Linked DNA regions of Coturnix japonica. The protein of the gene in region 2 purifies or fractionates together with the protein of the main gene of each other region. This does not show direct contact. Links are inferred from orthologs where the notes say so. Each region holds a gene or a part of one and is shown on either strand. Other genes may lie near its edges.

Region 1 (4,104 bases), on a different chromosome or scaffold from region 2:
ACCAAAGCACAAGGCTCAGCATCGCTCACCTCTGCCTGCAAAGCTCTCCCTGCCCAGCAGCCCAATGGCTCCCACTGTTTTGTCCCCGGGAAGCAGAGCAGCAAAGGAGCTGCAAGAGGTTGCAGGCGACGCCAGCAGCTCCTGGAGCAGCAGCGGCCGCATTGCTGCAGGGAACCCCCAGCTCTGACGGCTGCAGCTCCGACTTCAATCCGATGGCGTGTAATCTTTTAATCTCTTACCTCCTGCTGTTTCACTTTTTCACCTTAAGCAAATCAGGAGAGCGATGCTGAAGGGTTCCGATGCAGCCCATGTGTTCCCCCTGTGCTCAAGGGGGGGCTCCAAGCTGGGGACACCCACCCCATGCACTGGGACAAGGCAAAGCTGCTCCCTGAGGAGCTCAGCTCACACAGCTCAGCTCCATCCCAGTATCAGGGCACACACTGTGTCCTCCAGCTCCACCTCTCAGCCATCTTCAATGCTGGCCACGCTCGGAGCAGCCGTAAGCAGCTTTGGCTTGCATTAAAACCAAGAGGCGTTTGAATGGTTCCATTGCAATTGGAAAGCATCTGAAATGCCCAGAGCTGGGGGCACTCAGCGCTGTATTGCAGGGTGATTCTCCATCCTTCTCCTTTCATCCTCCTGCCAAGGTTTCCCCTATAACTGAGCCCTATTTGCACAAAGCAGCCATGCAAGGAGAGCAGCAGCCCCGAGCGCTTTGTTCCTTGACCTCAGTTGCATTGCAAGCTCCCCAGGATCTCAATGCAACGCTGATGTTATCAGCATCAAATGCCTCCCGTGGCTCAGGGCACCTCCACCATCACAGCGCTGCAGTGTGACGGCTGCTCTTGGTGCTGTGCAATGCAATGCAATGCAATGCAACGCAATGCAATGCAACGCAATTCAATGCACACAGCAGCACAGCGAGGTAAGGAAGGATCCCAAACCAACCCGAGCACAGACAGAGCTCTGAGAACACCAGGATTCCCCCTGGATACACTGAGGTTATTTCTTATTCCGTGGGTATGATGCTCCAGGATTCATTGCTTGCTCCCAGCTCAGCCACAGCCTCACCCTGTTACCATCAGCTCCATGACCAGCCCAGCTCCATTAAATACAAAAGCAATAAGAACACAAACCCCCCCTACAAGCTCCCAGCTCCACATTCCTCCGCTCCTTCCTTCAGGCCACATCCAAAGCCTGAATAAACAGAGCTGGGCACGACAGCCTCCAACCCTCCGCTCCCATCACATCCCAGTGCTGCCATAACCACCCATAGGGGGGTCCCCAATGGGGGCTGTGTCCCCACTATGAGCACACGGGGACCCATAGCAAAGCACTGAGCCCAATGGGGACACCCTGAGCCCAGCACACAGCGATGTGCCCACCTATAAGCCCCGACAACAGCCCTACATGGTGGGGCAGCACTCAGCTCTCACCCCATGGCACCATACGGCCCCATACAAATCCATAAGGCCCTATACAGATCCATACGACCCCATACGGCCCCATACAGATCCATAGGGCCCCATGCGGCTCCATACAGATCCATAAGGCCCTATACAGATCCATACGACCCCATATGGCCCCATAGGGCTCCATAGGGCTCCATAGGGCTCCATAGGGCTCCATAGGGCTCCATACGGATCCATACGGCCCCATACAGATCCAAACGGCCCCATATAGCTCCATACAGATCCATAGGGCCCCATATGGCTCCATACAGATCCATAAGGCTCCATACAGATCCATACGGCCCCATACAGATCCATAAGTCTCCATACGGCCCCATACAGATCCATAAGTCTCCCCATTACGGCCCCATACAGATCCATAAGTCTCCATACGGCCCCATACAGATCCATAAGTCTCCATACGGCCCCATACAGATCCATAAGTCTCCATACAGATCCATACAGCCCCATACGGCCCCATACGGCCCCATAGAGATCCATACGGCCCCATACAGATCCATAAGGCTCCATACAGATCCATAGGGCACCATACGGCCCCATACAGCCACATACAGCCACATACAGATCCATACAGCCCCATACGGCCCCATATAGATCCATATAGCCCCATACGGCTCCATACAGCCCCATACGGCTCCATACCGATCCATACAGCCCCATACAGATCCATACAGCCCCATACGGATCCATACAGCCCCATACCGATCCATACAGCCCCATACAGACCGATACAGCCCCATATAGATCCATACGGCCCCATACAGCCCCATACAGATCCATACGGCCCCATACAGCCCCATACAGCCCCATACAGACCCATACAGCCCCATACAGCCCCATACGGATCCATACAGCCCCATACAGCCCCATACAGATCCATACAGCCCCATACAGCCCCATACAGCCCCATACAGCCCCATACAGCCCCATACAGCCCCATACAGCCCCATACAGCCCCATATTGACCCCATACAGCCCCATACAGCCCCATACAGCTCCATACAGCCCCATAGGCCCCATTCCAGCCCCTATCGATCCCGTTGTACCTTCTTGGGCGCTTTGGTAACGGTGGCCATAAAGGAAAACTTCTCAGCGTCCTCCGCCTCCTTGGCCTGCTTGGCCTCCTCACCGCCGCTGGGCTCCGGGCCCGACATCGTGTCTCGAGGCGGAACGGAGGGGTACAAGGGGAGGAGGAGGGATGGGCCGCCCCGGTTCGGTTCCGTTCGGTTCCGTTCGGTTCCGTTCGGTTCCGTTCGGTTCCGTTCGGTTCCGTTCGGTTCCGGTCGGTTCGCAGCGCGATGCGGCGGACACTGCGGGCACCGCGCGGGGCGCCGGGGGCGGCTCTGGAGTGACGTTAGTGCGTGATGACGTCATCACGCGGCCGCTGGATGAGTGAGGCGGGGAGATAGAAGAGACGGGATGGAAACGGGAGCGGCACCATGGCGCCACCTAGTGGTGGAAGGGGGGAATGGACCGCCACGGGAGGACTATGGGATGGGATGGGATGGGATGGGATGGGATGGGATGGGATGGATGGGATGGATGGGATGGGGATGGGTGGATGGGGATGGCGGGGGATGGGATGGGCATGGATGGGATGGGATGGGGTGGGATGGGAATGGGATGAAAATGGATGGGAATGAGGTGAGAAGGGATGGGATGGGTTGGGATGGAGGATGGATGGGTTGGGATGGAGGATGGGTTGGAATGGAGGATGGATGGGATGGGATGGGATGGGATGGGATGGGATGAGGATGAGGACATAATGCATAAATAAACAGATAAAAGAATGAATAAAGAAGCTTAACCCCACTATGATCTGATTCAGTCATAAATAAACTGAGAAACAGAGACATGGAATGGTTTGGGTTGGAAGGGACCCAGAGAATCCTCGCCCCCACCCACCTCCCTTCCATCCTCCTGGAGGGCTGAGCTCTCTGTTCTGCGCTGGGTCAGGGCAGCCCCAAGCACAGCTCTAGGGGCAGCCAGATCCAAGGAACAAGCATCCATCATGGTGGGGACGGGCTGGGATGGGCTGTAATGCACGGGGGGGGGGGTCAGCACCCTCAGCTCAGCCCCCCATGGTGCTCCCAAGGGCCACGTCCCTCCTTGATACGGGCTGATGGTGCTGCTGTCCATCCATCCATCCATCCATCCATCCATCCATCCATCCATCCATCCATCCATCCATCCATCCAGCACTGAATGGCTCCGCTTCCCCCTTGGGATCCCCATTTCCCACCCTTACCCCCCCCATACCCAGCAATGGGGTTACACACATGTACCTCCCCTCATTGCTCGTCCCCCCTCCAGCCCCACAGCGATGAACCCACAGAGCCAGCAGCGTTGCAGCATCGCAGCTCATAGTTTTCCCCTTAACCAAAACTGCTCTGTCTGACCGCAGATCGGGCCCGGGCCGGTCCTCACTCGACACAACCCTCCATCCCATCAGGGTGGCCGGGATCGCTCCGTTCCGTCCCTATAACCCCCAGTGGGGAACCGCGGCCCCGCGGTGCTTTCCGGGACGGCGCTGCCCCGTCAGCAGTCTGCGGCCCCATAGGGAGGGCTGTGGTCCCTGCTGCCCCATAGGGAAGGCTGTGGTCCGACGGTGCCCCATCCACAGCCACCCCAG
Region 2 (4,111 bases):
TGGGCAAAGATTAATAACAGAGCCGTGCGCTGCTTCCAGGCTGTGTGATTAAACTCTTGATTAGAAGCTCAATGTACGGCGCTCTGCTAATTCCCCCGAGCTCACGCGCTGTTAATTACATGGTGTGCGTGGCAGTGAGGCCGGGGCTGTGGGGGCTCTGGGTCTTGACAAGGGTCTGTGAGCAGTCAGGGCGAGAAGGACGGAGCCTGAAGGAAAGTGCCCAGCTCCAGCAGGGTTGCACTCTTCCTATTCCATCCCATTCCATCCCACCCATCTTTATTCTGTTTAATCCATCCCACCTTGTGCTGTCCTATCCTATTTTATCTTATCCTATCCCATCCCACTCATCCCACCTTGTCCCACCTCATCCATCCCATCCCATCTAACGCATACCATTCCATCCCATCTCTTCCACTGTCCTATCAGATCCTGTCCTGACCCATCCTACCCATTCCATCCCAGCCATACCACTCATCCCATCGCACCATCCCATCCACCCCATCCTATCTCATTCATCTACTTCCATCCCATCCATCCTATTAGCCCCATCCCAATCATCCCAATCCATACCATCGATCCCTCTCTATCCCATCACACTCACCCTATCCAACCCCTCCCAATCATCCCAATCCATATTATCCATCCAACTCCAGCTCATCACATCAATCCCATCAAATCCATCCCAATCCATCCTATCTCCTCCAAATGTCCTGTCCCGTCCTATCACACCTCATCCACCCCATCCCACCCGTTCTGATCCATCCCACCCCATCCTGTCCCATCCTACGCACACCATTCCATCCATCCCATCCCATTACACCCATTCCATCCAACTCACCTCGGTCCATCTTACTTCCTCTGTCCTACCCTGACCTGTCCTTCCATATCCCATCCATCCCAACTCATCCACCCCATCCCCTCCATCCCATCCCATCCCATCCATCCCATCCCATCCCATCCCATCCCATCCCATCCCATCCCATCCCACCCCACCCCACTCGCTGCCCATGATGTCACTCCGTTGGCTGCAGCTGTCCCAGCGCTCCATCCCTTTAGGTGTCCCCGCATCCCCCCACCCCTCGCGGTGTCACAGCGATGCCACGCACCCCACTCCCGTGGGTGGCGGCTCCCGCACCAAGAGGGGGCGGGTCGCAAAGTTTGGGGTTACGTCACGGGAGGGGCGGGGGGACCCCACCGGAGGAGGGGCGGCACCCGGCGGCCCCACCCCCCCCAATTGCCGCGCCGGGCGCGCGGGGCCGCGCCGCGACGGAGCGACGGCGGTGCTCGGCTCGGCTCGGCTCGGCTCGGCTCGGCTTCGCACCGCTCCGCACCGCCCGGCACCGCGCGGCTCCCCAAGAGCGGCGGCCCCGGGCCGCGCCCCCCGTTGCTGTCGGAGAGGCGAGAGGTGAGCGCGGCGGGACGGCCCCGGGGGGATGCCGAGCCGAGCCGGGCTGAACCGTGCCGCCCTCGGGGCGTGGGGCTGCTGGGCCGGGCCGGGGGCGTCGCTGGGGATCGCCATGTGTTGGCCCGGGGCTGCCCCTCCGTATCCGTGCCTCATCCCCCCGTGCCGTGCCCGTGTGCGCCCCGACGGCCGCCCCGCGCCGCCCCCCGCTGCCGCCTTCCCCGACCCCGGCGGGCGGCCGAGCTGCCGTCCCGTCCCAACCCCGCTCCATCCCCGTCCATCCCATTCATCCCACCGCATCCCGTACCACCTCATCTCGTCCCGTCCCATCGCATCCCACCACACCCCACCCCATCCCATCGCTGCCGGACAAGCTTTGTATCCTTCCCCGCCCGCTCTCCGCTGCTGCAGCCCCCAGCTCGCTCCTGGGCAGATGCATCCTGGTTGGGGGGCACCGGGCTGTAGGGACCCCCCGGCCCCGTCTCTGTCCGCATCCCAGGAGCTCCCTTTGGGTGCAGCGCTGCGGGCTCCCGTAGCCCCTCCACTCTGCTGCCGCCCGCACTGTGGACGCTTGTGTCCGCTTTCCTCTGCTACAGCACTCTCGTGGGATGGGGGGTGCGGCGGGGACCCTCTGGCAGCGCGGCTGGGGGCTGCAGGTGCGAGGGGCTGCAGGTGAGGCTGGCTGAGCTGCAGCTGGGGGTCCCCGAGCCGTGGGGCAGAGCTGAGCTCCGGGATGCTGGGGGGATGCTGGTGAGGGCTGCACGGCTGCGTCATCCCGTCCGCACCCGGCCACCCACCTCCCGCTATTGTCTTACACCCGCTGTTGCTTCTGCTCCCAAATTAGCTGCTTCAGAAGGGGGGGGGGGCCGGCTGCGTGCGGGTGCCAGAGCAGCATCCAGCCTCCCTGCTGCGCCCAGCTCTCACCTGCAGGACATGCCGGGGATGCTGACCCGGGGCAGAGGACGGTGCTCAGCCCGGCAGGATGGCACCCGCTCAGCCAGCAGGAGCTGCTGGGATGGGCGCAGGTCAGCCGAGCGCTTGCAGAGGCAGCAATCAGATCCCTATCTGTCATCCCATCGGGTCCCTGCATGGCTCATCCACGCAGCACGCCGGCAGCTCATCATCCCAGCCCTCCCAGCCGGCCACTGGCTGCGGGGACAGCCCTCGTCCCCTCGCCCAGGGGCAGCGGCACGGCACAGCCTGCGTTGTGTGGCACGGGGACACTCGGAGGAGTCAGGCAGGGCATGTCCCCTGTTGGGCTGAGCCCAGGGAAGCCAGGGAGGCTTCAGCAGGTCTGTAGCTTGGGGTTGAGTTCTTCTGCACCCACGGGTGCTTTGCTTCTCTTTTGGGAGTGGGCGCACTCTGAGTGCGATGGGGCCGGCTGCTCTCACCTGGCACAGGCTGATGCCCTGGTGCTGCACAGCGAGGGGCTCCCATCCCGCAGGCAGGGCTGGATGGAGGCAGCGAGCGCACGATGGAGCATCCCCACACCCCTGCATCTCTGTCCCCACACCCCCCTCGGGGTCACCCACCCCAGGGATCATCCCTGTGCCCGCACATGGTGCCACAGACAAGGCCCCCATCGGGGGTCGGCGCGGCATTGCCGGGGCTGCGCAGCGCAGCAGGTCGGGTGCTGCGGGTGCTGCCCGTCCCTGCCCCCGCCGCAGGATGTGCCGCTTTCTGCATCTTCAGCTCCCATCGCCATAGCAACAGGCTCAGCGCTTGGGTACCCGCCGCGCCGGCTCCTGCATCCCGCTCCGCCATCCTGCCACCGGGACCGGGGCGGCGGGTGCTGGCAGCGCGGTGCGGTGCGGCACGGCACGGCTTGTCATCCCGGGAGCTGGGGGCGATCGGTGCCTCAGGCACCACACCAGCATCCCGTTGGACGTCCCGCTCAGGCTGAGCGGGGCCACGGAGCCCTTCTCTTCCTGAAGCATCAGAAAATAACATCCGTTCAAACTTCCTCCCTGAACGGGATGGGAAAGAGGAAAAAAAAATCACTTTCTGGGAACGGGTTTTTTTGGCAGCAAGCTCCAGAGAAGGGGCTGGGATTGGAGGGATCCTGCCAGGAAGGCAGAGGGCACAACACCATCCCCGAAGGGCAGGGTGGCAGCATGCAGCAGGCGATGCTGGAGCTGAAAAAGCATCACCACAGGGCAAAATGGGGCTGAGGAACCAGTCTACTCGCCACACCACCCGGCGAGCTGCTCATGGCTCTGCCTATGGAATAGATTTGTTACCAAGCTGCAAAGCTGGTGGGGCAGAGCGGCCGGACGCCACGGGGATGGGCTGCACTCTGTCAGGTTTTATGCTGCTCAGGAGGGATGGGTGCGGGCAGCGGGGCTGGGGCTCTCACGGCTCCTCTGCCTCTGCAGCACTGGGCCCTGCGATGCCGTTTGGCTGCGTGACACTGGGGGACAAGAAAGACTACAACCAACCGTCCGAGGTGACCGACAGATATGACCTGGGCCAGGTCATCAAAACGTGAGTGCATCCCTGCCCAGCCCCAGGAGCGCCCATGGGGACCCCCACCCTGCACCTCTTGGGGAGCGCGGTGCCTTTGGGGCTGGGGTGCGTTCCCTCCAACGAGTGCTGATTCCAGGAGGGTTTTTGCCGTCTGCTCTGAGCACAGAATCGCTGCCGGTGCTGAGGCTGCTGCTGCTGCTCGCCGCAGCCTGGCGCCTGCGGTTAACCCTCCCTCCTCCCTCT

Evidence for each region. Proteins that work in one complex are often made in the same cells at the same time.
Region 1: the proteins of CAMKV (region 2) and AHCYL1 purify together in Homo sapiens (affinity purification with mass spectrometry; 3 studies listed by BioGRID and IntAct, counting the BioPlex papers as one, with this or other methods). This does not show direct contact. The link is inferred for Coturnix japonica from reciprocal best matches to the Homo sapiens genes CAMKV and AHCYL1.

What each region holds. Positions count from the first base shown.
Region 1 is NC_029541.1:1,678,403-1,682,506, reverse strand, and holds the start of AHCYL1 (S-adenosylhomocysteine hydrolase-like protein 1), read right to left. Parts: upstream 2,813-4,104; 5' UTR 2,627-2,812; coding exon 2,519-2,626; intron 458-2,518; exon of another isoform or gene 240-457; intron 152-239; exon of another isoform or gene 30-151; intron 1-29. UniProt on the Homo sapiens protein: Multifaceted cellular regulator which coordinates several essential cellular functions including regulation of epithelial HCO3(-) and fluid secretion, mRNA processing and DNA replication.
Region 2 is NC_029527.1:1,485,441-1,489,551, reverse strand, and holds the start of CAMKV (caM kinase-like vesicle-associated protein), read left to right. Parts: upstream 1-1,285; 5' UTR 1,286-1,405; intron 1,406-3,777; 5' UTR 3,778-3,791; coding exon 3,792-3,886; intron 3,887-4,111. UniProt on the Homo sapiens protein: Does not appear to have detectable kinase activity.